Oryzias latipes: one gene and its partners. The protein of the gene in region 4 purifies or fractionates together with the protein of the main gene of each other region. This does not show direct contact. Links are inferred from orthologs where the notes say so. Each region holds a gene or a part of one and is shown on either strand. Other genes may lie near its edges.

Region 1 (3,778 bases), on a different chromosome or scaffold from region 4:
TACATCCAGATTCTCCTAAAACCTTTCAGCGTTCCAGTCGGTAACAGCTGTTTCGTCCCGCATCGCGTCACATGGTTCAGGCTTCCACGGCGTGCGTTCATTTCTGATAATGAACACTTCGTCAGCCATTAACCCTTACTTATTAATCTTTTGACCAACTCCTCCACGCTCGTTAAAGTCCCATATGTTGCGTTTCTTATTTGAAATTAGCCAAAGAAAGCTTCATCCTTAATGTGTTTGACTAAACTACCCAGAATGCCCAGAGGCGCCAAGAGGCAGAGGATTGGTCAGAGAGGTTCGATGGGAGGTTTTCTGTTTGAATTCCCTCCTTAACCCCTAAAAGACTATGTGGTGTCTCGGATTTGTGGTTGTTTTTGTTTTAAACCCCACTACGAGTTGTAGGCGGGAATCTTGGTTTGAAGCAACTCGGCCCCCTCTGAGTACTTTGTTTAAACTCTCCCACAATAGCTTACAACCCCTTCCACCCCCCCCCAACCTAACATTCCCGGTGCAACAGAATGTTGGAGCTGTCCGGCCATTCGGTTCTGAGGGGGGGGGGGGGGGGGGGGGGGGGTTGAGGGGAGCAGGGAGATGGTAGCTTCTACGTCACCAACAGGATCTTCTTCCAACTACTTTCTTTTGTTAACGATTTGAATAAAGAAATACTCACAAATGCAATTTCCACCTTAATGGGTTGAATCAAGCCTTCAACCATCGTTTTCCTGTTTCTCTCTCTTTATTTTATTCATTTTTGCAGCTTATCTCCTTCTGCTACTTTTTTTTAACCATTCAACTATTCAAATGTTCAGCTCTTCAAATCCTTGAACTTTTCCAGATATTCCAGGATTTCCAGGGTTTCTGCCTCCATTGAAATACTTGGAATCCTTGGTGCATAAGCTCGCTGGTTCGATACCCGGCTCTGGCATTTTTCAGGATTGTTGTTGTGCTGTTTTCATTTTATTTATGGTCAACTTTGATCATGTCTTTCTTTATTTTTTGCCAATTATTACCTTTAGAGTTTCATTTTCATTCTGAAGTAAAACATTCAACCTGTATTGGCTCCTTCTAGTTGTCTTTAACTGTGTCCTCTATCATCAGAAACGCCACGTTCATCAGAGTGGGTTTCTACAGTGATGCTTCCTGTTGTTTAGCTCCACATTTAGCTCGCTGTTGATAAATGTACCCGTCATCCACCCCTTCCGTCCTCACATCAGCATTTGCCTTCATCTCTTTGTAATAACCGTTTGTTTGTTTGTTTGTTTTCTTCCTCCGTCCGTCAGCGGATGCCTCCAAAAAGTCTGAGTCGAATCCGCTCACGGAGATCCTGAAGAATCCCACCAAAGTGGTCCTGCTACGGGTTGGTGCTCCGAATCGCGTCCGTTCAGAGTCCGCGGGGCTTTCCTGGGAGCTGAAAACCGCCTCGTGTTTTGCAGAACATGGTGGGCCGAGGGGAGGTGGACGAAGACCTGGAAGGAGAGACGAAGGAGGAGTGCGAGAAATACGGCAAAGTGGTGAAATGTGTCATATTTGAGGTGAGACGGAGCGTCCCGGACGGAGGGGAAAGGGGGTTTGAAGAGGCGCCTGAAAGACTTCTGCTCTCCTGTCAGATCGCAGAGGTTCCCGACGACGAGGCGGTCCGGATCTTCCTAGAGTTCGAGAGGGTGGAGTCCGCCATCAAAGGTGACTGTCGCGGACGGGCGCTCGAGGCTCTGGTTTCATAACCGCTCCGGTAACGCCGGCGAAGGCGTAACCGTTCTAAATGAGTCGGCCCAGATCAGAAAGAAGGTGAGCCTCGGCTCCCTGAGGTGTTATATCATCTGTGGCCCAGCAACCCAGGCGCTTCCCTGCGGCACCGGCAGAACCGGGCTTACATCACCGCTCGCAGAAAGTGGGGCAGACCAAGGGAAGGGTTACACCGCTCTCCACACAGTCATTCTCACTAAACAGACGCCAGCTTTAGGTTTATGCTGTAGAAACGGAAAAATTTTCACTTTTTAACCCTTGTGCTTTCTGGAGGCACGTTGGGAGTGGGGTCATCTGGACCCCACCAGATAGCACAAGGGTTAAAAATAAAATGACGTCTTTTAATAAAATTCTGTGTTCATCGTCGTCCACAGAGCAGACGGTGCCGTTCCGCTCCGTTCTCCAGCCCCTCTCTGTTTTTTTGTTTTTTTTTACTCACTTCTGAGGGTTGAGTGGTTGCCTGGCAACCAACACTTCATCCCCAGAGTCTAAGACAAAGAGCTTGTGTCCGAACTCCTTCACCGCGCACCATACGGGGCATGGCACCAGTTTACTGGGACGTCCGAATCTACAATTTCTTAAATTCCATCGCCCTAGAAGTCTCAGCAAGAAAAACAACAACAACAAAAAAAGCAATCTACATCACTGCTCACTAGGTTGGTGAATATAGACCACAATGCATTGCGTTTGAGCGATTTTTCATGAAAAAAATAGTATTTTTAATACATTTTTTCATGGACCATCCAAGCTTCCATCACCAGAACAAGAGTTGAATCACAATCAATCTTCGTAAAATGTTTGTATTTGTTCGGATTTTATTACGGAAATTGGTGACGTTGTATTTTTAAAGGGGGGGAAAGAATGATCATGGTGTCTGCTTTTAGAAATCATTAGGTTAGGTTTTAGGTTGCTGGAGCCTATCCTAGTTACTGCTGGGCAAAGGCGGCTTTCAGCCTGGACAGGTTCCGTCACAGGACACATTCGGATCATATTTAGGGAAAAGACTTTACTGTTTCATGTTGCAAGTTCCCTGGTCCCTTCTGACTGGACCCGAGTACAAACCTGTCAGTTTGCCCCCACCATCCAACTTCCTGTTGTCTCCTTCCTCTGAACACCAAAACACAAACGGATGAGAGGAAACGAGCCATCAGACAGACAGACAGACAGACAGACGGGAGCTCCAAATGTGCACAGGAAAAAAGAAGAGTTCCTAAAACAGCCATGAGAAGTGCTGCTTCAAACGATACTTCACACTACTTCTTTAAGTCACTATAAAGCTCTTAGTGATGATTCTCTTCGACCTATAATAATATAATAATATTAACTTTATTTATATAGCACTGTTTCGAAATCCAGATTACAAAGGGCTGTACAATTAATATGAAACAAAACCAGTATTAAAAACAGTTTCCAGTATGGAGAAATAAAACCCAGTACACATATGAAATGGTGATAGTGGTTAGAATCAATAAAATCGATAAATCAGTAAAATCAAGAAAATCAAGAAAAAAACAATGAAATCGATAAAATCAAATGTTTAGATTTAAGAACCAGTAAAATCCTTAAAAGCACACCTGTAGAGGTAAATTTTTAAAAAGATTTAAATACTGGTAGGGACCCAGCGAGCCTGATCTCTTCAGGGAGACTGTTCCAGAGTGTTGGGGCTCTTACAGCAAAGGCCCTGTCCCCAGAATTAATTTATCCCTGAAGCTTCAGCTCACGAAATTCTAAAGCGAAAAGAAGCGGTGTAGGGACCTTAACCATTCAGCCTGCAACACCCGTTCGGGGTCCTGGGACTAGTGCTGACGTCCCATTATGTGATTGGCTGTTCGTTGGTCCGATGACGTGTCAGATAGTCATTGGTCTGGACAAATAACGATACCACCATAGAAGAAAATATTATGCAGTCTGTTGTAAACAAGCAGAGCTCCGACACGGAGTGAGATCATCTTCTAAACACGCTTCTAGTATTTTTACGATCAAGTGCCTTTGCAGCCGTACGGACTGCGGTCAGAACGCTTCTCCGGTCCGAACA
Region 2 (3,821 bases), on a different chromosome or scaffold from region 4:
CTTTAAATTGTCATGCAAGCTTTGCTAGATAAATATTTGGACTTTATTTGTTCAGGCTTGCCTTGAAATTTTTCATTTCTAATATCATGTTAACTCAAACTACTTAGCTAAATACGTTTTTTTCTATTGTCAGTCCTACAATGAGTTTATTATTATTATTACTTTCTTATATATTTTTATGACTTCACAATTTTTGTCGTAACTATGGTCAAAACTTAAACAATTTATCCAATCGGACCGTCAGCAGCTAGCACAGTCCGCTGGCTAAGCTAGGTTAGCCATTGAGGACGGGTTTCTGTAAACGGGCGTTTTGCGAATAAAAAAAAACAACTAAAGTCAATACGAGGAGTTCGGCTATCGTTTTGGTTTACAAAAAATGTTAAACTAAAACTCACCCGTTTATTCATCTCAGACTAAGAAAGCTCTCCTCGCCGAGTTGGTCTTCAACCGTCGATCTTTTTCCACGTCGCGAGACTTCAATAAAACGTCCCTTCTAGATTTTCCTCGAGAGACGCCAGTTTGCCGTTGGAAAAACTCCCGCCGTAATCTGCAACCGTTACCGGACCGAATCATCAAATCCCACATGGCGCCTGCGCACTAATACTTTTTCTTTTCTTTTCGTTTCTTTAACCCATAACCTGTTAATTGCAGAAAATAAAAGCACAACAGTTCAACAAATCATTACCCCATGTTGATTTGTTTTCTCATAATTTTATGACTTTATTCTCATGTCGTCGTTTATTTTTCCTCTTTTATATTGTAATACTTTATCACAATTCTATTTAATATTCTATATATAGTTTTTTTTCTCCGAACATTTTAGAGAAAAAATATTTTTTATTTGTGGTTAGATTTATAAAGGTGATTGTCATCTCGCTTTTTTTTTAAATGTCACAAAAGAAGAGGAATCGAGTACTTTGAATTAAGATCTTTTTTAGACTGTATTTTTTTAAAGAAATTAAAAGCACAGCTTTGTTTTCTGTTTGTTTTTTTATGAGAGATGGTTATTTTTACTAACTTCCCCCTCATAAATATGTATAGAATTTGGATTTTATCTTTAAAGAAAAAAAAGACACAAAAGGGGAGTAGATTCATTTTAACGCCAAAACCCCAATTGTGGGTAAACAGGTCAAACTGCAATTCTAACTAGTGCTCAAATCTCCAATATTTTTCTCCAAAAAAGTTAAATACATAGATTTTGTCAGTGTAGGGAATTTCCTAACACAAAAATGACAAAAAAAACTGTTTTGCATTTTATTGATGTTTATAAGTAATTTTACTTTTCCCTACACATATATCTCATTGCACAACACTTTGATGAGAGAGGTACACATAAGTCTTTTTATTTCTTGTGTCTTGTGAAACCACAAAACCACTTTCATGGCCATGTTGATTTTTTCTAGGTCAAAGAACAGAATTACAAAGAAATTTAAAAAAAGTTGTGTTAATAGTATCTCAAAATGTGTGTGATTCCTCTTTTAACCACACGAGGGAAGCACATGCCTATTGCTGTACCTATTGGTATTATCCGTTAACCGGATGTTCGTCTTCGTTTTGTCCCTCCATTTCCTGGTGAAGGCTAAAGGCATTGCGTGTTTGTTGTTTAGCTATTGTTCAGACGAAATAAACTGTCATCATGGCTATGCAAGCTGCGAAACGCGCTAATGTAAGGTCAATTTTTGTGTTTAACTTTACTATATAACAACGAGTATATGTTAATATGGTTTTTGGTGCTCACGAAAGGGACAATTAGCCCTCCGTTAGCCTTTAGCAGCTATTGGTTACTAAAAGATAGCGTCGCTACGTAAAAAAATTAATAAATACGGCATTTTGAAAATGAGATGGTAAAATTGATTGTTTTGTCATCTTAAAATTTTAAAGAATTATTATTGTTTTAGCACGTTAGAGGGTACACTTTAGTGAAGAATTCTTATACCGTTTGTTTACATGCTAGTCTTTCTGTTACACATTTCTTTTTTGTGTGCTGCAGATTCGGTTACCTCCAGAGGTGAACAGAATCCTATACATAAGAAATCTGCCTTACAAGATCACGGCTGAGGAAATGTACGACATTTTTGGCAAATATGGACCCATACGTCAAATACGAACGTAAGTGTTTTGTCTTCATACCTTCAGTTTTATTTGTTTATTTTTAATTTAAAAAAATGTCTGTCCTAAACACACAACCACGTCTACTAACAATGAATATATATAAATGTAATTTTTTTACATGGTAGTATTAATGAGAAGCAAAATTTATTTAAAAAATCGTTTCATTCCAAACTGTGGTGTAGCATTTGCTTAAATTTGACATTTAAATCATTATTAATCATATTAAAAATGCTTGTTTTGTTTGTTCCCCTCACATGTTATCATCATTTAAGAGTCCCTCTTAGATCACTTTTTCATATGTTTTCAGACAATAAAATAAATATGTAAATAAGCTCAATATTCTTTCATATATGTTGTCCTTCATCAGAAAAATGCCATGAGAAAATGTTTTAAAACAGTTTTCATCAGAGTGGGTCTTTAAGGACAATATTATTATGGAACAGGTTAAGATGTGTGACCATTTCATGCTTTTGCTGTATTTTAGGGGTAACACACCTGAAAGCAGAGGAACGGCGTATGTTGTTTATGAAGACATATTTGATGCCAAGAACGCTTGCGATCACCTGTCAGGCTTCAACGTCTGCAATCGTTACCTGGTTGTTCTTTACTACAACGCCAACAGAGTACGTATGCTTTTTATTTCATCCATTTACAACCTTTTTGGTTCCTTGTTTGTTTGTTTTTTTCTGTTTACCATCAACCCGCTCATATTTTTGCAGGCTTTCCAGAAAATGGACACAAAGAAGAAGGAAGAGCAGTTGAAGCTCCTAAAAGAGAAATACGGCATCAACACAGACCCTCCCAAATGATCTCCACGACTATCAAAACCTTCTCACACACCTTAGATTTCTCTGTACCTGTACAAATGTTCCCTTTTTTGAAAATTTTTGCTTGGTCAGGTTTTTGTTTTGGTGCTTTTGTCAACCTTTTATGCATGACCTGCCGTCTGCTTTTTTTAAAAATGACTTCTCTGATGTTAATTGAGCTTTTAATTTGAAGTGAAACCAGGCATGTTTTCAGTTCAGTTCTTTCCCCCCCCCCCACATAATTTTATTTGAAAGTTAACAGGTCTCTGCCTTGTGCTCCAAGAACATCAATGGATGTAATGTTTGTTTAAACCCATTTATTGTAAAATAAATGTCTCTTTTTCTTTAAACCCATTGTCTTTTGTTTTATAAACACCACATATGAACTCACTTTACTCTTGTTTTGTAAACCTGTCACATCAGCTAATTTTTCTTTTTTCCCCCACATTTACACACAAACAGAAAAGTATCTTTTGAGAAGCTGACCGTCATTCAGTCTTTTCCGTCCATCCATCTTAACCTGCTATATTTGTTGCTGGAGCCTATCCTAGCTGTTGTAGGGCAAAGGTGGGGTACACCCTTGTTTACGGAACAGTCAGCCAGAGGACCTGAGAGCTGCAGAGAGCATAGCTGCTTTTAAGAAAAGCTTCAAGACCCATCTTTTTCAACTGCCTTTTAGCAAATGTTTTAATAGTTTTTATTTATTTTGAATTCTTTAATTTATCCACTTTATCATATTTTATATTTTTACATGGGACTATCCATTTGTTTTAAAATTCCTCATTTCACATTTTATTGTTAAGTATTATTTCTTTTTACCAACTATGGTTACTTTTTTTTTTTATTTCTGGTGCTTCCTCAAAAAAAGAAGCTGGGATTTTACTAAAGAGATTGATATCAAGA
Region 3 (3,444 bases), on a different chromosome or scaffold from region 4:
AGGCTGAGACTGGCGGCGAGTTTCTGCCGTTTCAGGCTGAGACTGGCGGCGAGTTTCTGCCGTTTCAGGCTGAGACTGGCGGCGAGTTTCTGCCGTTTCAGGCTGAGACTGGCGGCGAGTTTCTGCCGTTTCAGGCTGAGACTGGCGGCGAGTTTCTGCCGTTTCAGGCTGAGACTGGCGGCGAGTTTCTGCCGTTTCAGGCTGAGACTGGCGGCGAGTTTCTGCCGTTTCAGGCTGAGACTGGCGGCGAGTTTCTGCCGTTACAGGCTGAGAATGGCGGCGAGTTTCTGCCGTTTCAGGCTGAGACTGGCGGCGAGTTTCTGCCGTTTCAGGCTGAGACTGGCGGCGAGTTTCTGCCGTTTCAGGCTGAGAATGGCGGCGAGTTTCTGCCGTTTCAGGCTGAGACTGGCGGCGAGTTTCTGCCGTTTCAGGCTGAGACTGGCGGCGAGTTTCTGCTGTTTTAGGCTGAGACTGGCGGCGAGTTTCTGCCGTTTCAGGCTGAGACTGGCGGCGAGTTTCTGCCGTTTCAGGCTGAGAATGGCGGCGAGTTTCAGGCTGAGACTGGCGGCGAGTTTCTGCCGTTTCAGGCTGAGACTGGCGGCGAGTTTCTGCCGTTTCAGGCTGAGAATGGCGGCGAGTTTCTGCCGTTTCAGGCTGAGAATGGCGGCGAGTTTCTGCCGTTTCAGGCTGAGACTGGCGGCGAGTTTCTGCCGTTTCAGGCTGAGACTGGCGGCGAGTTTCTGCCGTTTCAGGCTGAGAATGGCGGCGAGTTTCAGGCTGAGACTGGCGGCGAGTTTCTGCCGTTTCAGGCTGAGACTGGCGGCGAGTTTCTGCCGTTTCAGGCTGAGACTGGCGGCGAGTTTCTGCCGTTTCAGGCTGAGAATGGCGGCGAGTTTCAGGCTGAGACTGGCGGCGAGTTTCTGCCGTTTCAGGCTGAGACTGGCGGCGAGTTTCTGCCGTTTCAGGCTGAGAATGGCGGCGAGTTTCTGCCGTTTCAGGCTGAGAATGCCGGCGAGTTTCTGCCGTTTCAGGCTGAGAATGGCGGCGAGTTTCTGCCGTTTGTCCTGAAAGCAGCTGAGCTGCACCGACCCTGAAACTGATCTTTATCTCCAACAGCACAAGCTGTCTCCACACACCGACCTCAGCTGGAAGCCGGATGGGAAAGTCGTTGCCATCGGTAACGAGGATGGGTGAGTTGTTTTCACACGTGAACCCTTAGAAACGCCAACCAGACTTTTTGATCTAATGGTTAAAACATCTGAAGCAGAGATGAGGAGCGGTGGAGCTTTGAGGTTTTCTGTCAGGTTGCATCACAAAGTAAACATGTCAAAAGTTGCTTGTTTTCCTGGAAACTGGCCTCTTTCACCGGTCTTTTCATCTCTTTCATCAGGTGCATTGATGTTTTCCAAGCCCCCAACCTGAAGCAACTGTGCAGCGTCCAGCAGCACCACAAGATCATCAACTCGCTGCGGTGGCATCACCAGCACGGCTCCGCCTCAGAGCTGCACACGCTCCTGGCCTCGGGCTCCAGCAACGCCATCGTCTACGTGCACGACCTCCGCTCCGTGATAGGTGGGGACCTTACGTTCACAACAATAGTCACATGACAACACAAGCGTCCAATAAACGGCTCCAACCTGCTCTGAATCCTCCCAGTTACCCCACTGTCAGAGAGGATATGACCGTTTCTGGGATCCCTTCAGAATTCTCATCTTCTTCACCTTCATCCCATTTTGTTGTTTGGTTTCCTTTGGATCAGTTTATCAAACATCAACTGTCGTTCAGGACGAATACTTGCAGTTTGGATGTAGATTTAATATTTCCAGTTTTGAAACTTAGGTCTACAACTTTACACGAAGACGGATGGATGGATGGATAAATGAATCGTCAGATGGATGAATAGGTGGATAGCTGGATGGTTGGATGGATAGATGGCAGTAATTCCTTATGGAACCCACATCTTTACGAGTCTTCCTGGTCTTCAGAGAACCCTCCAGAGACTCCTGTGGTCCTGACGGAGCCGTACCGGCGGTTGTGCGGTCACACAGCCAAGATCACCGGGATGGCGTGGAGTCCACATCACAGCGCTCGGCTGGTCACGGCCTCGTATGACGGCACGGCACAGGTCTGCTGCTCCACACAGGTGAAGCCAAAATGCTGTTCTGAGGTCTGATGGGCGGGTCTCGTTTCAGGTGTGGGACGTCCTGGAGGAGGCGCCCATCTCTAACTACCGGGGTCACGTGGGGTATCTGCTGAGCGTGGACTGGTCCCCCGTTGATCCAGACGTGATCTGGACCGGAGGAAAAGACTTCACCGTGCAGGAGTGGAAGGTCTCCCAACAGGAGTTCACAAAGCCACCTAAAGGTGACGATGAGGCTCTGAGGGGGGATCCAGCCAGGTCCTCCTGCTCACGACTGACATGTTCTCCTCCCAGGGAGGAAGATGAGCACGCTGCAGGAGAAGAAGAAGTCCGGCTCCAAGCAGAAGAAGAAGAGCAAGAGCGCGCCGGGGCTCGGAGGAGATGTGGTGCCAAAGATGAACGGCGACGGAGAGAAGGATCTGTCTGAGGAGGAGGAGGAGGAGGTCGGCTCCACGAGCAGCATGCATCCTCCAGGAGGTGAATGCGTCTGAGGCCTGAAGGATTCATGTCAAATCGCATTTTTCTAATCATTTTTTCCTTTTTTTAGCATCTTTGGAGAAGAAATCCTCATCTGTCTCCAGAAGTAAAGAGAAGCCACCAGGTTTGTGTCTGATTCTTGTTCAAACGGCTTTTTCTTTGGGTTCTGAACATGTCCCTTGCTGGCTCCGCAGCAGATTTGAGCCTCCTGAAGAAGAAGAAGCCTCGCTCCATGCTGCCCCTCAGCACGTCCATGGACCACCGGCCCAGGGAGGAGCTGCTGCAGGACTGCGTCACTCTGGCCGCCGTCAGACACGCCTCAGGTGAGAGAAAACTGGCAGATGGTCTCCAAATGCAAAATAAAAATGTCAGAAAACTTAAACGAGCTTAAGTCTTCAGTTCGACCCTTTTTTCACAAAGCAGGGCTGATTGTGTGTTTTCAGCGCCACCTGCTGGCTGCAGCCCGGGACATGGCGACCATGTCCACCTGGGCCTGTTTGCAGACCGGCGGGCTCTGCGCCTCATGCTGGAGGCAGAAGGTTTGTTGGTTCTCCCTTCCTGGCTTTGGGCGTTTCAGCGTAACGTTCAACTTCCTGTCGACCCTCAGAGGAAGGTCACGTGCAGGCGGGGCACTTCGACTCGGTGGTGTACCTGCGGCTGTGGAGCGGAGACCTGCAGGGGGCGCTGCAGCTGGCAACGGAGAAAGGAGAGCTGAACGACCACCTGCTGTCCGTCGCTGCGATGGGTAAAGAGCGGGAAGATGCCGGTTGAAGTGTCTGTGCAGACGTCAGGAAGCCAGTTTGATGCAAAAAAAGAGAAGGTTTTGG
Region 4 (4,536 bases):
CCCTCCTTCATGTGGGCACCCCTGAGGTTTCTTCGTTTTTTCCGGAATCCGTTTTTTTTGGGGAGTTTTTCCTTACCGCGAAGGGGGGTCTAAGGGCAGGGATGCCAGTATAGCTTAGTCAGTTTGTTAGTTCATTTTAGTATTTTTCTATTGAACTCTTTGTATACGTGATCCTTTTGAGTTCATGTTTTACTTCGAAGCCCATCGAGACGACTGTTGTTGTGATTTTGGGCTATACAAATAAAATTGAATTGAATTGAATTGATCCAGATCCAGACTGATAGGATGATGATGGAGAACCAACCAGACATTGTAGTGGTGGATAAAGAACAGAGGAAAGCCGTTGTGGTGGATGTGGCAGTGCCAAGCGATGGAAACATCAGGAAGAAGGAACATGAGAAACTGGAGAAATACCAGGGACTCAGAGGAGAACTGGAGAAAGCCTGGAAAGTGAAGGTGACAGTGGTGCCTGTGGTAATTGGAGCACCGGGGGCAGTAACCCCCAAGCTGGAGGAGTGGCTACAACAGATACCTGGAAAGACCTCAGACCTCTCAGTCCAGAAAAGAACAGGAACAGCTAAGATACTGCAGGACCCTCAAGATCCCAGGCCTTTGGTAGAGGACCCCAGCTTGGAGGAGAAACCACCTGGGGAGGGTGAGAGGGGCGTATTTGTGTCACAATGAAAATAGAAATAAGATCAGAAACTCGTGCGTTTACTTTGTCTGTTCTTCTACTACAAGCAGAAACTCTTTCTTTTGCTGATGATGCAGCCGTGTTACTTTATTGATGGACCTATAATCTTCATACGCCGTCATTTAAATCTCAGACTCCGTCTGAAGTATAGCGCTCTCTTTTTTTCTCCACGCGTTTTCATGGTGACTCCAGAAATCGGCGATCCATTGAGAATGTCTTTATGTACCTGCTGTGCATTAACCCAGCGTTACCAAGTGGAGCGTAATTACGCCAACTCATATCCGGTCTTTAGGAACCAACATACCCAGAGTAAGCAAGTTCAGCCAGAGTTCAGGGTTAAAGTCAGGGGAGTTTAAACGGGCCTTCTGGAATACCCCCCAGTACACTTGTAAAGTTCTCACTCATTTTTGTCAATTTCCATGCGGGAACCTCCCAAATGGATAAATAAAGTTGTCTATCTATCATGCATGTGGAGAACATGCAGACTCCTTACAGAACTGAGTGTTGAACACTCCACTACCGTCACCATCAACTTTTGAACATAAATGTTGCTAAAATCCTACAGTCCTTCTGGAGTACTGGAATAATCCACCTTTGGCAGGTTTTTAAACAAAGATGTTTTTATTAACAACATTGATAGTAACATAACAAAGATAGCGTCCTTCACAGTCAGTATTTGGTTTGATGAAACTATCAGGAGAAACAGAAAGAATTACAAAGAAAATATAATAAATAAATAAATGCAAACATAACTGATATATATGGATGAGGATTTCTGAAGAAGAGAATGAAAAGGCTGAAGTTTCCCTTAACTCTCGTTTGTGTTTCTTAACAGGAAGGAAGGCGCTGCAGTTCCCCTCCCGGCCTGCGGGGGCAGCAGCGCGGCGATCTTCATAAAGCGGCATACGGCGGTTTCCGGTTGTCTGCTTGCGCTGCGTGAACACAGTGCGGGTGAGTTGCGGGTTTATTTTTCTTTATTTTAAAATCTTTGGTCTGTTTTGGGGCTGACAGACTTGGAGGGGTGCGACTCCTCCGAAAGAAAAGCCGCCACGGTCGGTTAACGTTTTGAACTCGAGCGTGGTTAGCCTCGGAGCTAACGGATGCTAACGCTAGCGCCTCTTTCAAAATAAAGTCATAAAATCAAAGAAATCTAAGTTCTCGCAAAAGTTCTCTTATTAAAAACTGTATTTCCAGATAATTTTTTTCTCGTATCTGGGCACGTTAATCGTAAGGCTTCATTGTTGTCCGAAGCTTTTTAAAAACTAGTCTTCATTCAACGTGAGGCTCTGAGCGCCTGTCCGTTTTCCTGATCAAATCGCTTCATCATCTTCTTCTCAGACTCCATCATGGACATCCGACCAAACTACACCATCTACATCAACAACATCAACGACAAAGTCAAGAAAGAAGGCAAGTGACCTGCTCAGAAACACGGATCCAGCAGCCTCACCTGTAGCCTCACCTGTAAACCTCCACCTGCAGCCCAACAGGCTGACGGTGTTTCGGGAGGATCTCAGTCTCAGTAAATGAATCATTATAGGGCGGGAAAAGCATTGGCGTTCTGTTCACACTCCAAAAGCAGGATTCGTTGGTCTGAACAGGTCAAACTTGGGTCACTGGCAGTTTCAGCAGCACCTCACAAAAACCCTCGTCCAGAACCCTGGATTTCATGACCCGGTTCTGTCAGAGTTCCAGCTCACAGAGACTCTGAGAGTTTACGGATCAGAAAAATGTCCGTCATCGGAACAAAACCAGGCCTTTGTTTCCTGCGGCCGTCTGTTTACAGGCAAAGGAACAACGTAAGGAGGAGGGCGTCCGTCCATCTCCTAAGGCATCAAACTGCAGCCAGAGTTATTGAACTTTCTGGATTAGAGCAGTCTGTTGGCATGAGAGGCACAGCACTTGAATGGTCTGAGTCGTACTTATCTGATATGAGGTTTTCTGTCCAACTTGGTCAATTCTCATCCACAAAGGCCCCACTCGGACACGGGGTTCCTCAAGGCTCAATTTTAGGCCCCATTTTATTTTCGTTATACCTGCTTCCACTCTGCACCATTTTTGATCAGTGTAATGTGGCCTATCGCTGTTATGCAGATGATATCCAGCTTTATCTACCATTAGAATCTGGGGGGCCCAGTGTGTAGAGAACCCAAAGAAGAGTTTAGAGGATGTTGAAACTTGGATGAAGTCAAACTTCCTCTGCCTAAATGAACAGAAAACCGGGAAAACTGATCTGACAGAATCCAGCGGCCTGTTGGATCATTGAACTCTGACCTGTCTTCTAGCAGAAATCTTGGGGTTATTTTAGTTTTAAATTTGATAGACATGTTAGTGCTGTGGTCCAGTCTTGTTTTTATCGTCTCCGATGAATCAACACAGTAAAGCCACACCTCCCTCATGACACCCCGGAGAGGCTTGTCCATGCCCTCATCTTCTCCACACTGGCCTGCTGTCATTCCCGTTATTCTGGGAGGGAGCCGTCCCTCCTCCGTCTTCAGCTGGTCCTGAATTCAGCTTCAACCCGTGTCCTAACGGCGTCCAGACGGCGTGATCACATGACCCCAGTACTACGCTCTCTGCACTGGTTGCCGGTATCTTTTAGAATTGATTTTAACTGTTTTATTTCTGACCTTTTAAGTGTTTAAATGCTTTAGCACCTCTTTATGTCACTGAGCAGCACCATCGTCCTCTTAGTGGTCTGCAGACCAGAGGCTCCTGGTGGTCCCAGACCTGGACCTGTGACTAAAGGTGACAGTCTTTTCAGTGGCTGAACCTGAACTCTGGAACCGTCTCCCTTTGTCTGCCAGCTCCTTATAGGGTTTGAAATCTTTGTTAAAAACTCCTCTTTTTTCATTGGCTTCTAACACCAGAGTAGATGACAGTCAGACCGGCTCTATTAGTGTTTATTTCACTGTTCAGGCGCTTTACAAATAAAGGTTGGATTGATTGAAAGGACAAAACGGATCCTGATGGAGGCGGATCCCAGCAAACACAGGTCTTTCTGTGGGTCGGAGGAGAACTGTTGCTGGGCTGGTTCTGGTTTCGCTCCTCCGGGTCTGATCTCTGCTCTTCCTCCTCAGAGCTGAAGCGCTCGCTCTACGCGCTCTTCTCTCAGTTCGGCCAGATCCTCAGCGTGGTGGCGCTGAAGACCATGAGGATGAGGGGGCAGGCCTTCGTGGTCTTCAAAGAGCTGGCCGCCGCCACCAACGCGCTGCGGCAGCTGCAGGGCTTCCCGTTCTACAACAAGCCCATGGTGAGAACGCGCAGACCCTCAGGATGACCCCCCGCCCCCCGCTGACTCTGTCTCCCTGCAGAGGATACAGTACGCCAAGACCGACTCCGAGGTCATCGCCAAGATGAAGGGCACCTTCGGAGACAAGGAGAAGAAGAAGGAGAAGAAGAAGAAGGCCCAGGAGCTGGCAGCCAACGCCGCCAAGAAGCCCGCGGTGAGGCGCGGCGCCGTGCCCCCCCCCCTTTACCGATCCGTTTGTTTGTGTCTGACTGTGTTCTGTCTGCAGGCTGCTGCGGTTCCTGGTCTCACGCTCGCTCTCCAGGTAGGGTTCTTCATCACTGAGAGGATGAGGAGGCTTCTTCAGGATCCGTGTTGTGAGGATCCGTGTTCTGAGCCTCTGCTCTTCCCAGGTTCCGGATAACCCCCCCAACCACATCCTGTTCCTGAACAACCTCCCCGAGGAGACCAACGAGATGATGCTGTCCATGCTCTTCAACCAGTGAGTGCCCCCCCGCCGCCGCCTCCTCCTGGGTGGGCGTGGCTTCAGCTCTGCTCTCTCTGCAGGTTCCCGGGCTTTAAGGAGGTGCGGCTCGTCCCCGGAAAACACGAC
Region 5 (4,451 bases), on a different chromosome or scaffold from region 4:
CTTTTTTTTTTGGTTGATTTGTTTACTGCAAACTCATGACAGTTTGCATATTTTGCCAACAAACCCAATTTTTAGTGCTGCCCAGTAAAGCAGCAGAACATGCATTATTTATAAACTTTAGTGATGTTCTTCCTTTAAAATGGAGCTTCTTTTAAAAAAAAAAAAGGAACGAGGTTGTTCTGTTTCTTATTCTGTGTCATAAATAGCATGAAAGAAATTATAAAATATTGGAATCACTGAAAAATATTGTAACTTTACTTGATTTATGTAGCACATTTAGTAATACTGACGAAGCAGGGTTTTTTGCACACGTGAATACATGGCCACTGGTCACATACTGACATCTGAAAACCATCAGACCATTCCTGTCTAATGTAAAACTTTAATGTAAAAATTTAAAAAAACATTCAACCTCCTGAGAACCGAGGAAAAAAAGTGTCTTACAATTCCTGTTTTTATGTGATTTCCTATCTATTTAGGCCTAGAACACCTAACAATTTTAATTTTTTTAAAAATATTTTTTATTGTAGATAGAAGACAACAGGATGATATTTCTGTGAAAATAGAGATCAATTTGGAAAATCAGAAAAAAGGAGCAGATTAAATCTTTAGAGTGATATTCACCCAAAAAACATTAGATGATCCTCGAAAATATTGTTATCGATGTACTGTGAAAAGTACGAGATTGGACTCCAGTATTCACAAACTTTGGGGTCATCTTGAGCGGGGCGCCCTGCTAGCACAGGTGTAAACCTGTGATGATGTACGTTTAAAAAACACAAAAAAAATCAAGTTAATAAAAAAAGCAGTTTTTTTTTTTTCCATTTAAACATAGTACAAACACTACAATGTTCTAACATGGTCATAAAATGTAAGACATTAGCCTGAAACTAAATAAAACATGCAAGTTAGTCCTGGTCCACAGAGCACGAAGACTTTGCTGCACCTTCTCTGACTCATCAGATTCTCCTGAATTATCATCTTCTTCATCTTCATCATCACCTATCACAGACTGAATCTCACCCTCCTCATCCTTTTCATCATCCGAAAGCTCCAAATATGAATCAACCTTCGACTATCTGGTACAGAATCCTCTCAGCTTCACTTCTTTCACCTAAAAATAATGTGTAGCCATTAAATAGATTAAAATGGTCCTGGTGTCCACTACAGTTGACATTCATTAAATGCCTGCTGTTTTAAAACCGAAAACCTGAAACTGTTTTCAGATCTAAAAATATTGTTCCTAACCTGTTTATGACCAAGAATATATATAATTATCATTGTAAAAAAAAAAAAAAAAAGGAATAGATACAGAATATTTGACTTGCCTTTCACCTTTCCATAAAATGAGGTTTTATATGTCGTTCACTTTGGTGTCCACCTTTACCATCGCGTTAGGAATAAAAAGTCGGAACAAAAAAAACACCGTCTCGGTTTCTCACCGGTTTGTTAAGTCGAAGGCAAACCGGAAGCCAGCTTCTGCTCGTCGCGGTGTGTTCGGACGGACGCAGTTTTTATCATCTTTTTCAAGCTTCACCTGTTTTTCAAACCCGCGCTTTTCAAGTAAGTTGACCTTTTATATGTATATCATCGATGGCCACATGGAAGTTGCACCGCTGGCTACGAGAGAAACTAAAGTTCAGGAGTTTAAATAGGTTATTAGCCGAGACCCAGGCTAATGATATAGGATCAAGCTAACAAAGTAAAATGTAACTTTGTTTTAAAGGGATAGTCGTGCTTTCAAAAACGGTCATATACCATAAATGGTAAATATCTGCAATAAAGTATGACACGATTTTATTTAATTTCTGGTAGTTGTGCATTATATTGATTTTCCTCATGGGAAAATTATCCATTGACTCTCCGAGGAGTCCTTTCCTTAAGACCAGAATTTCTAGCAGTTTAGCTAGGCTAAAAGGTTCAAATCTGCATAGCTGTGAGAAATCCGTCGTTTTCCTGTAATTCTAACAAATCAGTCATGCCTTTGTTTTTAATTTGTCACACTAATTCAAAACTTGTTTCATGTTATTGAAAGGGATGATAATCTAAGAAATACAGAATTTGTTGGTGTGCAAACAACAAAACAAAGCTTTTGTATTTCATTATGTCAAAGTAAACTGCATATGATCTGGAGAAAAGGGACGTAAGAAACATAAGGGGAAAAGTCTGTATTAGACATTCAACTCTACGGTTTATTAATATTTTTGTTTTTACTGAATATTTTATTTTGATGTTTATACACACCACTGCAAAGTATAGTAATTTAATAATTATTCTACTTCTACACTAGTTTAATAATAGACTGGTGAATGGGTATGTGTTCAATGTGTCCTATAAGATTTTTGTGGGGATGCTGGGTAAGTAAAGGATAATAGCTGACAAGGTGTCTTGACAGTTTAAGCTTCCTTGTCGTCCGTTAAAAGACGGATAATGACCTTTGAGGTGTCCATTATCAGAAATTATACCATGGTACGGGTGAATACTCAATTCTGATTGGCTGCTGAGTGTGCATTAAAAAAGTGATAACCGCACGTCTAAAAAAAGAAGTTCCAGTTACATTGCTTAGATGTTCTGTGTCACTGCGCCGGCTTTTTTAAAACAGACATTTGTTTCATCATCTGGATAAAAACAAGCGGTGAGCGGTGAACCTTCATTCTGAACTGATGCTTTAATTTAACATACACCATCATGACGATCAGCTTATTTATGGCTTTTACTGCTGCAGTGGAGGTCGGTGCCAGCTCAGCGTGTTGTCATGTTACGGTAACGTGACAACACGCCACACCATGTTGCAAAAAGTCCGCTTTTTTTGAAAAAAGCAACGTAAACCGAAAAAATAACAAGAATAAATGACTAAAAACTGATTGAAAATGTATTTGTTTTGTAAGTGACCATGGTAAAAGCAGGATAATCAACGCACTAATAATCAACGGAAGCATCGGGCAGTTTGGGTTTCCACGGCGTGCGTTAATTTCTGGCAACGTATACTTTGTTGGTGACTATCCCTTACTTAATCCCCACTCAGCAGCCAATCAGAATGGAGCATTCACCTGGACCATGGTATAACTGACATTCATTGATATATTTGAAGTTTAGCAGTTGGATGTGGTAATCTTTACTTTCAGATGCTCCCCACTCATTGGAGAGACACATAATAGAATTTTATAGGCTTGTGAAGTGTATTTACCATTAGCCATGTTTATAACATTTGCTTCTTAAAGGTTTAATTTATTTACATGTACCACCATATAATATAAAAAAGGCATTATTTTGAGTTTTTTTTTCCTTCAAATTATTTTGTTTTTATCTTTGAATTGTAATTTTCCTCACAAATGTCACAAGAATAACTAAAACCTTCTTGTTTATGAGTTTATCTGACTGGATCGTCTGTTTGCTGAAGCACAATTCAAATCTCTGATTTACTTTCTTTCTCCCAGAGCCTGTTGACTGATCTCAGAGAGAATGACTGACCGATACAATATCCACAGTCAGCTGGAGCATCTCCAGTCCAAGTACATCGGAACAGGGCATGCTGACACTACCAAATGGGAATGGCTGGTGAACCAGCACCGTGACTCTTATTGCTCCTACATGGGTCATTTTGACCTGCTCAACTACTTTTCCATCGCTGAAAATGAAAGCAAAGCTCGTGTTCGCTTCAACTTGATGGAGAAGATGCTTCAGCCATGTGGACCACCTGCAGACAAACCCGATGATGCATAAAACACAGCCCAACCAACTGCTGCAGCTTTTTTTCCCTCTTACCTTTTCTTTTTTTCAGTTTTGGACGGTTGTTTGTTTCTAACCTTGAGGTCAGAGCAGCCAGTAAAATCTGGTATTCATGTGTTCACTGAAGCTATTCTCACTTGTTTGATCGGTGAATACATTAACTGTAGTGCTTTCAGGAAACGAATGAGAATGACGACACCTGAACTTATCCATTTCAGAAAATGTTAAAAATGTCCAATATGTGCACAATGTTGAACTGTTGTATTTCTAATGAAAACATTATTTTTCCTTTGGTTAAGCTCTTTCACTGATCATTTTATTCTGGAAATATGTCAGTTTTCTAAAACGCATTTAAAAAAGTGAGAACGTTTAAATGAATAAATCATCCAAACAAGACGTTTTATTGTAAAAAGAAAAAGACCAAAGTCATCCTTAGGACTTTGTTGAAGGAGCAGCAATGGCTATAGCAGTGGTTTTGTTTTTGCTTAAAATATATGATTTTGTTTTTTACTTTTTACAAATGCCTTCAAAAATAATGCATCTTTAGATTGAATATTTGCCAATTGTGTTTACCTATAATAAACGTCTTAGTTACAAGTACTGTTTTGTTGTGCAGGCTTTAGTCAGACACAAATTTTAATTTTTTTTTGCCCATCAAAATATATATGATAAAAGGATCTTTCTGTCTCTTGATAAAGGTAGAGATTTCAGTTTGAGCTTTT
Region 6 (4,399 bases), on a different chromosome or scaffold from region 4:
GATGGTCACGAGTCCAAATCACGTGATTAGTTTTGTTCTGATCAAACGCTCTGAATCGGATCTCAACTTGTTTTTGTCTAAACGGATCAAAACAAACGGCCTTCATTTCCGTTTATCCAAACAAATCAAGTATGGCGCCGGAATCCAATCAAATGTTTGCATTTCAGACTCCTCGTCGTCATAAAATCTCCCACTGACAGCTTGAGTCCGTTTTCTTCATCTGAAACAGCCGCTCAGGCGCCTCCAGCTGCTGTCCAGCCGCTCCGAGCTCTAACCTTGCGGTTAACCTTGTTACCTCCAACCAAAACTGCATCGCTAAACCTTAGCCAGACTGATTTCATTGTTTAACAGAGAATATGTGAGATAACATACTAAAAACGGAGGCGTTATAGGGCAATAATATGCTGGGGTCAAGCTGGTTCTCGTCTCCTGGGTCGGGTGCGTTAGGGACACGATGACCTGCCAGGCAGCTAGCTAGGAAAAACCTCTGCGTTCATCCGTTAGCTCTCGGTCTTTTAATGAGACCGGGAAACTGTACACGAGATGTTAAATCTTTTCATGCAAATCGACACTTCGCTGCGGGGAAATTCACACTTAAAAATCACAGTTTTTAGGCTCTTACCTGGAGCCGTGCGACGGTGAGACAGTAAGATGCCATTTTGTTCACTGACAAAGATGTGAGATCGCCGTGACGTCACTGATGTATAAAAGCTTCTTTCTTCTTCTTTGGTTTTTCGTCCAGTGTCGTATTTACTGCTGCCCTCTGGTGGAAAAGCCTGGAAATACAGCTGAATTTTATTTCCTTTCTAAAATGTACATGTTTACATGGAATAAAATATTAAAGAAATTGTGTCAATATGTGACAAAATGTGTCATCAGACTCATAAGAAAAATATTGGTCGTCACATCAGCAGATCTAAAAGAAATAACGCATTGCTTGAATTAAATTTTCCATACATACAGGATATTTGCATCATGTTTTCAATTCAATGGACTAAAAGTTTAGGTTTGTAAAATGGTTGTTAATCATTCATATGTGCTTGATTAAACAAAATAAATATAGAAATATGATGGAAATGTAACATTTTTATAAATTAATGAACAAAGTTAAATAAGCTAGATTTTCTGTTCATCAAAAAAGTTGCGCAATAGTTAGAAAAAATTTTATTTCTTCAGCAAGGGTATGCATTGCACACCAAAGTACATTTTTACTCAAGAAAATTTTAATTTGATGAACTGCAATTAAAGTTCTCAAACAGGTAATTTCCTCCTCAAGCTGACATGTTTATTTATAAAGTAACTCTCTCATAATTTTATATATTGTTCTGGTTTTCAGAAAACATTTTAAAAAATGAATTTAAAACAGAAAATTTCATAAAAAGGTTTTAAAAATTGGAAATGTAGCCTATTTTAAAAGCAAAAAGGGTATTTATTTAAATCTAGTATTTATAAAAAAAATGTAAATAAATATGTTGGTAACATTTTTTATTTTTACATTTTCAAAACTTAAATTAATTACTTTCATTATCTTAAATATTATAACTCGTGTTTATGTTTTATTTTGTAATTTAAAAAATAAAATAGTACATGCTTCTGTCCAGTAGGTGTCAGTATTGGCCATTTAGCTGCTTTTAGCTTCCACCGACACGCAAGAAGAAGAGTCAGCGGAGCGTTGGGTTGTCGTTAGCTAACATGGCTAAACATCACCCAGATCTGATCTTTTGTAGAAAACAAGCGGGAGTTGGTAAGTTTTTACGTAATTATTTGTTTAGTGTCTGAAACCTTAAAGTTCGTCGCAGGTAATTTGACACATTCGTGGTTTACTTTCAAAGGTTTAGCGCTTTGTTAGCATGTATGGCATGGGGTTTCAATGAGACTGTTAGCATGGTCGTGTTAGCCTAGTTTTGTGTTTGGAGTCGACATGTCTAAATACCTAGTTTTTTCTATTTAATTATTTAAAATATTAATCCCAAACTGTGTAAATTACCTTATTAACTGTATCTGTTTTCATCACCAGCTATCGGGAGACTTTGCGAAAAATGTAAGTTTTTTTAATTGTTTAATGCTATCAAACGTTCAAAGAAAGAGTGCATGTAGATATCATTTTATAGGTAATATTTATAAATAACAAAAAAAAAAAAAACATATTATAAAGTGATTCTTTGCGTGCGGCCATCCCTGATTTGTTCTTCTTTTTTTTTCTGCACGGGCCTTTAATGTTTAATGTGAGAATTATTTTCAGAATAAAAGCCCTCTCTAGTCTAGGAAAAAATACTACAATCCAAAACTTTTCCATTTCTAGAATTTAAAACAAGAAGCTTTCAATGTGAATGGAGTCTAAACTCATTTGTACTTAGTACTTTAAGTGGGAACATAAAGCAGAGTGAAGAAAAAGTCCATTGAATTCCACAGAGGTTTTTTTTCCGTTTGTTGGAAACAAAACCGATACAGTTAGGTTTGGAGGTGTGAGGGGCTGTAAAGGTAGCGTGAGTGCACACAAACAGATGGGTGATGGGAAGGGGGGACGGGCATGCTCCACGCTACCAATCTGCCCACAACTCATAGGTGTATTTCTAATAAACTCCTGCCGCTTTGGAGAAACGACACAGCTTTTGGAAACGTTATGAAAATATTTCAATAGAGGATCAGAGTGGGACTTTAAGCACGGTGGAAGTTTATTGTGGTTTGGGCCTGCTTTCTGACTGAAGCATTTGAATTCCTGCCTCGAAAATCAGTACACTTTTTCTAGATAGAAAATCTAGAATGAAGCAGTCTGTAAAACTAAATAGGAAAGGATGCCGTGGAACATATAGATATGACATTAAAGATGTCTTAAATTCCCAGTCTGGAAGTCTGGTCAATAAGATGAGATTCGAAAAACAGAAGTTTGATAAAGTCCTTCATACAGATGCATCAAAGTTATTATGTCAGTCAAATATTGCTTTAAAAAAAAAAAACATCAACCCAGAGTTCTGAACTATTGTAAACAAACTGTGTTGGCCAATTCTTATCTGTTTATCCTCTTCTCTCTATTGTATCTCCTTCCTGTCTGCATATAGAGCAACACAGATGTTCTTGATCAAAAAACACGAACGATCAGCTGTTTTCAAGTCTTGAGTTTAGTTTTAAATTTTAAAGCGCTTCGAGTTTTAAAAAAAAAAAAGTTTAATTTGATGTATCTGTAAAGCTCTTTGCTGTCATTTCATCAAAGAAACTAGCAGCAGAAACTCAGGAAGTGAGATGCAGCGTCTGACCGTCTTCTTTTACAAAAATAACTTGTTTTAAAGTCTGACTTTAACAATGTTTAAAAGACGGCAGAGACCAACCAGACTGTCCCTGATCTGCTCCTTTCAGGCGATGGGAAGTGCGTCATCTGTGATTCGTACGTGAGGCCGTGCACGCTGGTGCGCATTTGTGACGAGTGTAACTACGGGTCCTATCAGGGGCGCTGCGTGATCTGCGGAGGCCCCGGAGTGTCTGATGCGTACTACTGCAAAGAGTGCACCATTCAGGAGAAAGATGTGAGTCTCTGGGCTCCAGGATCGGCCCTTCGCTGAAATGAACCAATGTTTTTACCCTTAATCTTTTTTTTGTGCAGCGGGACGGATGTCCGAAAATCGTGAACCTGGGCAGCTCCAAAACAGACCTGTTCTACGAGAGGAAGAAGTATGGCTTCAAGAAGAGGTGAAGAAGAAACCCCCCCGGCGTCTGTTAGGCTTTCCTTCTCGTTTCCAAACTTCCAAGAAAACTGTTTTGGTTTGTGAATAAAACTCACTTTTGTACTCCAGTCTCTGTGGCCGTTTGACTGAATAATCCAGTTTTAAAGCGTTTTTTTCTTATCGTTTATACATGGAGGCTCTTTTCTCTCATTCAACCTTGTTCCTGTTAGGTTCCAAGGAAGATCCAGGTCGTATAAATGCAGCCTAAACTTTTCTAGATGGAAGAAAAGTTTCGACATTTTCCTAAAGATCTGAGGAGCTTCAGATCTGGAAGTTTTGGTTTGTCTTTTCTCGTCACATTAACCTGAAATGGAGACAACAGGGAAGAAAAAAACTAAACATTTGAGAGTTCAGTTAAAAAATTAGGGATTTGAGTCCAACAAAATCTACATTTTACTGATCAAAAGTGAGGAAATGATGTATTTAAAGACGTATAATTCTGACTTCTCCCGTCTGAAAACAGGACAGCCTGATTCCTGGTTCTTCAGGATACAAATGAATTTATTTAAATCAGAAAAGTAATTGTAGATGAACTGCTTAAAGATTACTTAAAAGTTCAACTATGGAAAACCTTTAACTTTTTATTTAGCTTTAATAAAAAGGGACAAATTTAAAACAGTGGTGGGAGTATTATGGTTTGTATTAAACCTCAGACAATAAAATGGTCTAGAGATTAATTT
Region 7 (4,443 bases), on a different chromosome or scaffold from region 4:
GGTAAGTTGACTGCAGAAGAGGGCATGGGAGGCTGATGATTTTCACTTGGCTTGTTTGGACCAATCTTCTCTTTAGTGTCATCCTCTCCAACCAGGCCTTTGGCCTTATGAATAGCTTCGATCTGCTCCTGTAGAGTGATGTTGGCCTGCGCTGCCTGCTGGGTGCGAGCCATGCTTCCAGAGTGGCCATCCCAGGTAACCTGGACACGTCACAAGAATCCAAAAAGTTCAGACAAAAGTTGAACGCGTATTCACAAAAAATCTATCAGGTTGATAAAAAAACGAGTTCAAATGATGCTTTTCACAAAAACCATGCTACTTTCTACGGAACTCACCTTCTCCTCTGGCTTCTGGATTTCCTCTTCACCAATCTTCTTACCAATGGCTGTCTCTTCAACACCAAAGATATCAGTACGCCTCTCAGCGAGCTGCTTCAAGCTGCTCTCGATATCCAGACCAGGAGCATAGACTTCATCCTCTGTCTGTCTATCCCTGATGCTGCGGTCTCTTTGTTCCAGCCAGCGTGGGTCCAGCAGACCAATGCGCATGTGCTCCTGCATCTTGCTGGCTGGGATCTTCTCACCAGTGATTGGTGAAATGAGGTACTCATCTGGAGCTGCAACTGAGGGCATAGGCTTGGAGGCTGTGAAAAAAAAAAAAAAAAAAGGAAACAAGTTTTAATGCACCGCTTGTTTTATTTGCTTGTTTTTATACTTCATAATATTTCAATCACAGAAAAAAATGTACCTTTGGGATCATAGTCTTTTCGAATGATGACGTGGTCTGGAGTCGGGGGCAGAGGAGGTGGCATGGGGTTGTCAGGTGGAAGTGGAGCTTTAATTCCATCGTCCTCATCATCTGATCCCTGGAGAAGTAGCATTTTAAATTTGTGAATTTGCTACACAAGTAACCAAGAAACCTAGACAAGTGTTGGACTTTGTATAAATGTAGTAAATGATAACTGTTTACCTCATCCATGTCCTGCACTTGTGTGTCTTGGTCAGGCTGTGAGGGTTGACCTCCGGCTCGTTTCTCCCGTTCATCCTCTTCATCCTCACTCTCAACTTCCATCTCCACCTCCTCACTTTCTCCATACTTCTCATAGCGCTCCTGGATGAGGATTCGAGCACCAAGCTCCTCTGGAGTGGTAGGTGGGGGGAAGTGGCCTTGGAAAAACACCAAATGAATAAATTAATAACTATGGTTCTTGCAACATCTGGACCTGGTGTTCCTATAGTCATGCTACCTTGTTCATTGGGCTGGAAGTCCACAGTCTCCACCACGACAAAGTCATGCCAGTCAATTTGAGCATAGGCTACGCGTTCCTTCTCTCGCTCCTCTTCCTCCTTCTTTCTCTCACGCTCCTGGTACTTTGCCCACTCAACACGGTATCTCACCTGATGTTTGTAACAAGACAGTTTTAAACATAGAAAATAATCTTCTGAAGGCTAAAATAAATTACCTGGTCCATAACCTCCTTTGGATTCTCAGCCTCTCTCTTTAGTTTGGCCAGCAGACCCTTTGGGGGGATCAGAATCTAAAGGTTGAGGCAACATTTAAAAAAGTTCAATAACACAGTTTCAATAAAAAAACAAAGAAAGCTGTAATTTTTGTCCTTTACCTTGGTATATTGTTCCACCAGTTTTGTGAAGTAGTTGAAAAGGCTGTGCTGGGGTCTCAAAAAGTCAAATTGGTAGTTCCTCTGTTCTTTTTGCATGAGCTGGGTGAGAAACTGACGGCCGTTTCGTGCAACAAACTGGGCAGTGAGCTTCACAACATCAAGATCGAATGCAGAGATTGATGGAGGATCAGCTATGAATTCAAACTCTGGAGGCGGTTCTTTGGGGACCACAGTTTCCTGAATCACCTGGGACTGCACCTGATGAAGAAAAGGCAAGTTTGTATAAATATAAACCCTTGTAGGTCCGGGCACAGTAAATAGACAGTCCTTACTTTTTGTGGAAGCTGCTGAGATTGCTGCATAGCCTGCTGCATAACCTTGGGCACTGCGGCGGACGGTTCTTGAGCTTTGCCCTCCTTAAACTCATTGACTTTGTGGCGGTAGTAAGCATGGTAGGGATCGTTGGGGTTGAGGAAATTAAATTTTGGATTGTTGATCTCATTCTGACGGATTCTTGCTTCAAACTCAGGCCCATTCCTGTAAAGTGACAAGTATAGAGTCAAACTACAGATAGCAAACACCTCTTACAGCTGTACGTGACAGTTCTTTGGCAACCAACCTGGCAACAAAGCTCGCAGTCTTGTCAACTATATTACGGACCTCAGGAGGAGGATATATGATGCCAACAATAGGTTTAGTGGCTGGAGTTTCCTCCGGAGGTGTATCATTCTGACAAGAGAAGGTTCAAAGTAAGAATATTTATATTTAAAAATAACATCAAGTACAGTGAAGTTCCTCCTTAAAAATATTATTACACAAACATTATCAATTCACTTATTAATTAATAAGACTTACTTTAGGTAATTCTAAGATACACTGCAACAATTTAAACATTAAACCACTCGATCATTAAAAACCTGAGAATACAACTAACACATTTAGTCTAAACCATATGCAAAGATACCAAATATTGAAGTGCAATCATAGTTTAAGTAATATCTGTTACCTAATTTTATTGACTTTCTCAACTTGGGAATTTTTAGGGCCACACATATAGACGCAAACGTTGCCCCATATGTTTTACAGCTTTATAAACATTAGCATTTAATTTTGGACAGGCTTAGAAAGCTTTGCATAAAGGGGGCGAATTTTATAAGGCGATAAATCATTAAGAAAAGCGACGGATATCTGAGGCTAATGTTAGCTAGTTAGCGTCCTTACCTTGTTGTTAGGCTCAGGCTGAACCATTTGAACAGGCCCGGGCGGCATGGCTGCGTCTTTTTAACGAATCACCAATTTTACCTGAAAACACTAAAGCAACACACATATATTTTGAAATGAATTCTTTAAAAAAAATTCTGTAAGTCAAAAAGTAATAGCTAATACAGCTATAATTCTTTATTTGTCGACGTTAATACTCACCGCGTCTCGTTTTCGTTAACGCAATGGCGGCCAATTACTTCCGGAAATATCCGCTAAGAACTGTGGGACTTGGAGTTAACTGTTGCCAAGGAGACCTCACGTCAACAAGTACTTATAGGCGCCAAATAAGCGTTTTAGACATGAGTTTGTTGTTGGGTCGTCAGGATTCTATCAAGAATCTAAGAAAAGACCTCATCGATATTCAGGGTGCGGTTCTGGACGTGCTCTCCAGAACAGGACCAGTCTGCGCTTCCTCCTGGAAATTCCCGGACAAACTTTCCTGTCATCTAGACATTGTTGCTTTGTTGGAGGAATATGACTTCGTGGCAGGAGAAGATGACTTCAATCAGCATTCCCACATTATTCTCCTGGAATTGATGATTGACAGGTAACCTAATGTTGTATTGCATGTAAAATATATATATATATATATATATATATATATATATATATATATATATATATATATATATATATATATAATGACTTTAAAAGCATCTCTGCATGTTCTTGTTCCCCAACAAGGCTCCTGTTTCTTCTTCAAAGCGTCAGCGTTTATGCTGAACAACAGATGGGGGTCCACAGACCAGAAGGAGCTGCACACAGAGGCAGCATGTCAGTTGGTCTTGTGGTCAGGAATTATTGGGGGGATTTACTTCAATTTGCAGATAAAAAGGTAAAGAAACCTCTTTTTCTAGTAATGCCACAGGGATAAAAACACATGCAAAAGTATTTGACTTTAAATGCCTTTTATGTCTTTTTAGGAACTCTTCAAAAACATTGCAGAAAAGACAAATTCAGTGGAATCTGATGAGTCAAACGTCGAGTCCCCTCTCAATAGATCCAGCACAAGTTGCTCCAGGCATTCTTCCATATCCTGGTCTTCCACAAGCTCATTTAAATTCCTCCCACAAAATAACATCACCATCAGTTCCCCCGAACAAACCTCATTCCATCCTAAAACTGCCTCCCATAATGTCAGCTGCCAGACTGCACAAACGTCCCTCATCCCTTGTGGTACATGTCACCAAGTGCAATCTCTTTTGAGAAAAACTGGAGAATCTTTGATAGATCTGTTTCAAAGTGAAGGTCTACCCTCATCTCTGCAGCCTCTCTCAGCAGTTGTGGATGAGACAGTGAGGGTGGGACATCTGACTCCAGGTGATGTTGCACAGTGGGCCAATGAACAGCTCAGAGACATGCGCAGGCTGGCAAAACACCTGCAGGATGTGAGGGGAACGGTACTGCCCCTCCAAGACAGAGTAGCAGCAGCTGAAACGGATCGTGAGGCCATCAGATCTCAACTAAAAACAGTGCAGAAGGATTTTGAACAACAACTAGAAAAACAGCAAACAAATATAGAACAACTGGAGTTTTCACTGCAGGAAGCACAGAGAAGC

Evidence for each region.
Region 1: the proteins of snrpb2 (region 4) and rbm17 purify together in Homo sapiens (affinity purification with mass spectrometry; 3 studies listed by BioGRID and IntAct, with this or other methods). This does not show direct contact. The link is inferred for Oryzias latipes from reciprocal best matches to the Homo sapiens genes SNRPB2 and RBM17.
Region 2: the proteins of snrpb2 (region 4) and sf3b6 purify together in Homo sapiens (affinity purification with mass spectrometry; 4 studies listed by BioGRID and IntAct, with this or other methods). This does not show direct contact. The link is inferred for Oryzias latipes from reciprocal best matches to the Homo sapiens genes SNRPB2 and SF3B6.
Region 3: the proteins of snrpb2 (region 4) and gemin5 purify together in Homo sapiens (co-immunoprecipitation; 3 studies listed by BioGRID and IntAct, with this or other methods). This does not show direct contact. The link is inferred for Oryzias latipes from reciprocal best matches to the Homo sapiens genes SNRPB2 and GEMIN5.
Region 5: the proteins of snrpb2 (region 4) and sf3b5 purify together in Homo sapiens (affinity purification with mass spectrometry; 3 studies listed by BioGRID and IntAct, with this or other methods). This does not show direct contact. The link is inferred for Oryzias latipes from reciprocal best matches to the Homo sapiens genes SNRPB2 and SF3B5.
Region 6: the proteins of snrpb2 (region 4) and phf5a purify together in Homo sapiens (affinity purification with mass spectrometry; 4 studies listed by BioGRID and IntAct, with this or other methods). This does not show direct contact. The link is inferred for Oryzias latipes from reciprocal best matches to the Homo sapiens genes SNRPB2 and PHF5A.
Region 7: the proteins of snrpb2 (region 4) and sf3a1 purify together in Homo sapiens (affinity purification with mass spectrometry; 5 studies listed by BioGRID and IntAct, with this or other methods). This does not show direct contact. The link is inferred for Oryzias latipes from reciprocal best matches to the Homo sapiens genes SNRPB2 and SF3A1.

The regions. Positions count from the first base shown.
Region 1 is NC_019881.2:3,094,976-3,098,753, forward strand, and holds part of rbm17 (splicing factor 45), read left to right. Parts: intron 1-1,280; coding exon 1,281-1,357; intron 1,358-1,433; coding exon 1,434-1,532; intron 1,533-1,607; coding exon 1,608-1,680; intron 1,681-3,778. UniProt on the Homo sapiens protein: Splice factor that binds to the single-stranded 3'AG at the exon/intron border and promotes its utilization in the second catalytic step. Involved in the regulation of alternative splicing and the utilization of cryptic splice sites.
Region 2 is NC_019882.2:13,000,229-13,004,049, forward strand, and holds sf3b6 (splicing factor 3B subunit 6), read left to right. Parts: upstream 1-1,513; 5' UTR 1,514-1,636; coding exon 1,637-1,666; intron 1,667-1,990; coding exon 1,991-2,109; intron 2,110-2,596; coding exon 2,597-2,735; intron 2,736-2,831; coding exon 2,832-2,921; 3' UTR 2,922-3,200; downstream 3,201-3,821.
Region 3 is NC_019872.2:29,392,373-29,395,816, reverse strand, and holds part of gemin5 (gem-associated protein 5), read left to right. Parts: intron 1-1,116; coding exon 1,117-1,190; intron 1,191-1,390; coding exon 1,391-1,572; intron 1,573-1,985; coding exon 1,986-2,125; intron 2,126-2,192; coding exon 2,193-2,364; intron 2,365-2,434; coding exon 2,435-2,617; intron 2,618-2,687; coding exon 2,688-2,741; intron 2,742-2,811; coding exon 2,812-2,940; intron 2,941-3,060; coding exon 3,061-3,156; intron 3,157-3,224; coding exon 3,225-3,362; intron 3,363-3,444. UniProt on the Homo sapiens protein: The SMN complex catalyzes the assembly of small nuclear ribonucleoproteins (snRNPs), the building blocks of the spliceosome, and thereby plays an important role in the splicing of cellular pre-mRNAs.
Region 4 is NC_019859.2:709,744-714,279, forward strand, and holds the start of snrpb2 (U2 small nuclear ribonucleoprotein B''), read left to right. Parts: upstream 1-1,519; 5' UTR 1,520-1,645; intron 1,646-2,032; 5' UTR 2,033-2,040; coding exon 2,041-2,104; intron 2,105-3,774; coding exon 3,775-3,947; intron 3,948-4,008; coding exon 4,009-4,140; intron 4,141-4,212; coding exon 4,213-4,248; intron 4,249-4,336; coding exon 4,337-4,425; intron 4,426-4,490; coding exon 4,491-4,536. UniProt on the Homo sapiens protein: Involved in pre-mRNA splicing as component of the spliceosome. Associated with sn-RNP U2, where it contributes to the binding of stem loop IV of U2 snRNA.
Region 5 is NC_019873.2:17,221,398-17,225,848, reverse strand, and holds sf3b5 (splicing factor 3B subunit 5), read left to right. Parts: upstream 1-1,438; 5' UTR 1,439-1,563; intron 1,564-3,437; 5' UTR 3,438-3,462; coding exon 3,463-3,723; 3' UTR 3,724-4,329; downstream 4,330-4,451. UniProt on the Homo sapiens protein: Component of the 17S U2 SnRNP complex of the spliceosome, a large ribonucleoprotein complex that removes introns from transcribed pre-mRNAs.
Region 6 is NC_019877.2:2,094,088-2,098,486, reverse strand, and holds phf5a (PHD finger-like domain-containing protein 5A), read left to right. Parts: upstream 1-1,620; 5' UTR 1,621-1,692; coding exon 1,693-1,744; intron 1,745-2,017; coding exon 2,018-2,041; intron 2,042-3,354; coding exon 3,355-3,521; intron 3,522-3,598; coding exon 3,599-3,688; 3' UTR 3,689-3,787; downstream 3,788-4,399. Other genes in the region: aco2 (aconitate hydratase, mitochondrial), read right to left, coding at 623-658.
Region 7 is NC_019867.2:18,885,774-18,890,216, forward strand, and holds the start of sf3a1 (splicing factor 3A subunit 1), read right to left. Parts: upstream 3,067-4,443; 5' UTR 3,044-3,066; intron 2,933-3,043; 5' UTR 2,891-2,932; coding exon 2,843-2,890; intron 2,351-2,842; coding exon 2,241-2,350; intron 2,159-2,240; coding exon 1,954-2,158; intron 1,880-1,953; coding exon 1,622-1,879; intron 1,538-1,621; coding exon 1,463-1,537; intron 1,398-1,462; coding exon 1,247-1,397; intron 1,167-1,246; coding exon 970-1,166; intron 866-969; coding exon 748-865; intron 644-747; coding exon 336-643; intron 201-335; coding exon 1-200. Other genes in the region: ccdc157 (coiled-coil domain-containing protein 157), read left to right, coding at 3,067-3,431, 3,569-3,719, 3,808-4,443. UniProt on the Homo sapiens protein: Component of the 17S U2 SnRNP complex of the spliceosome, a large ribonucleoprotein complex that removes introns from transcribed pre-mRNAs.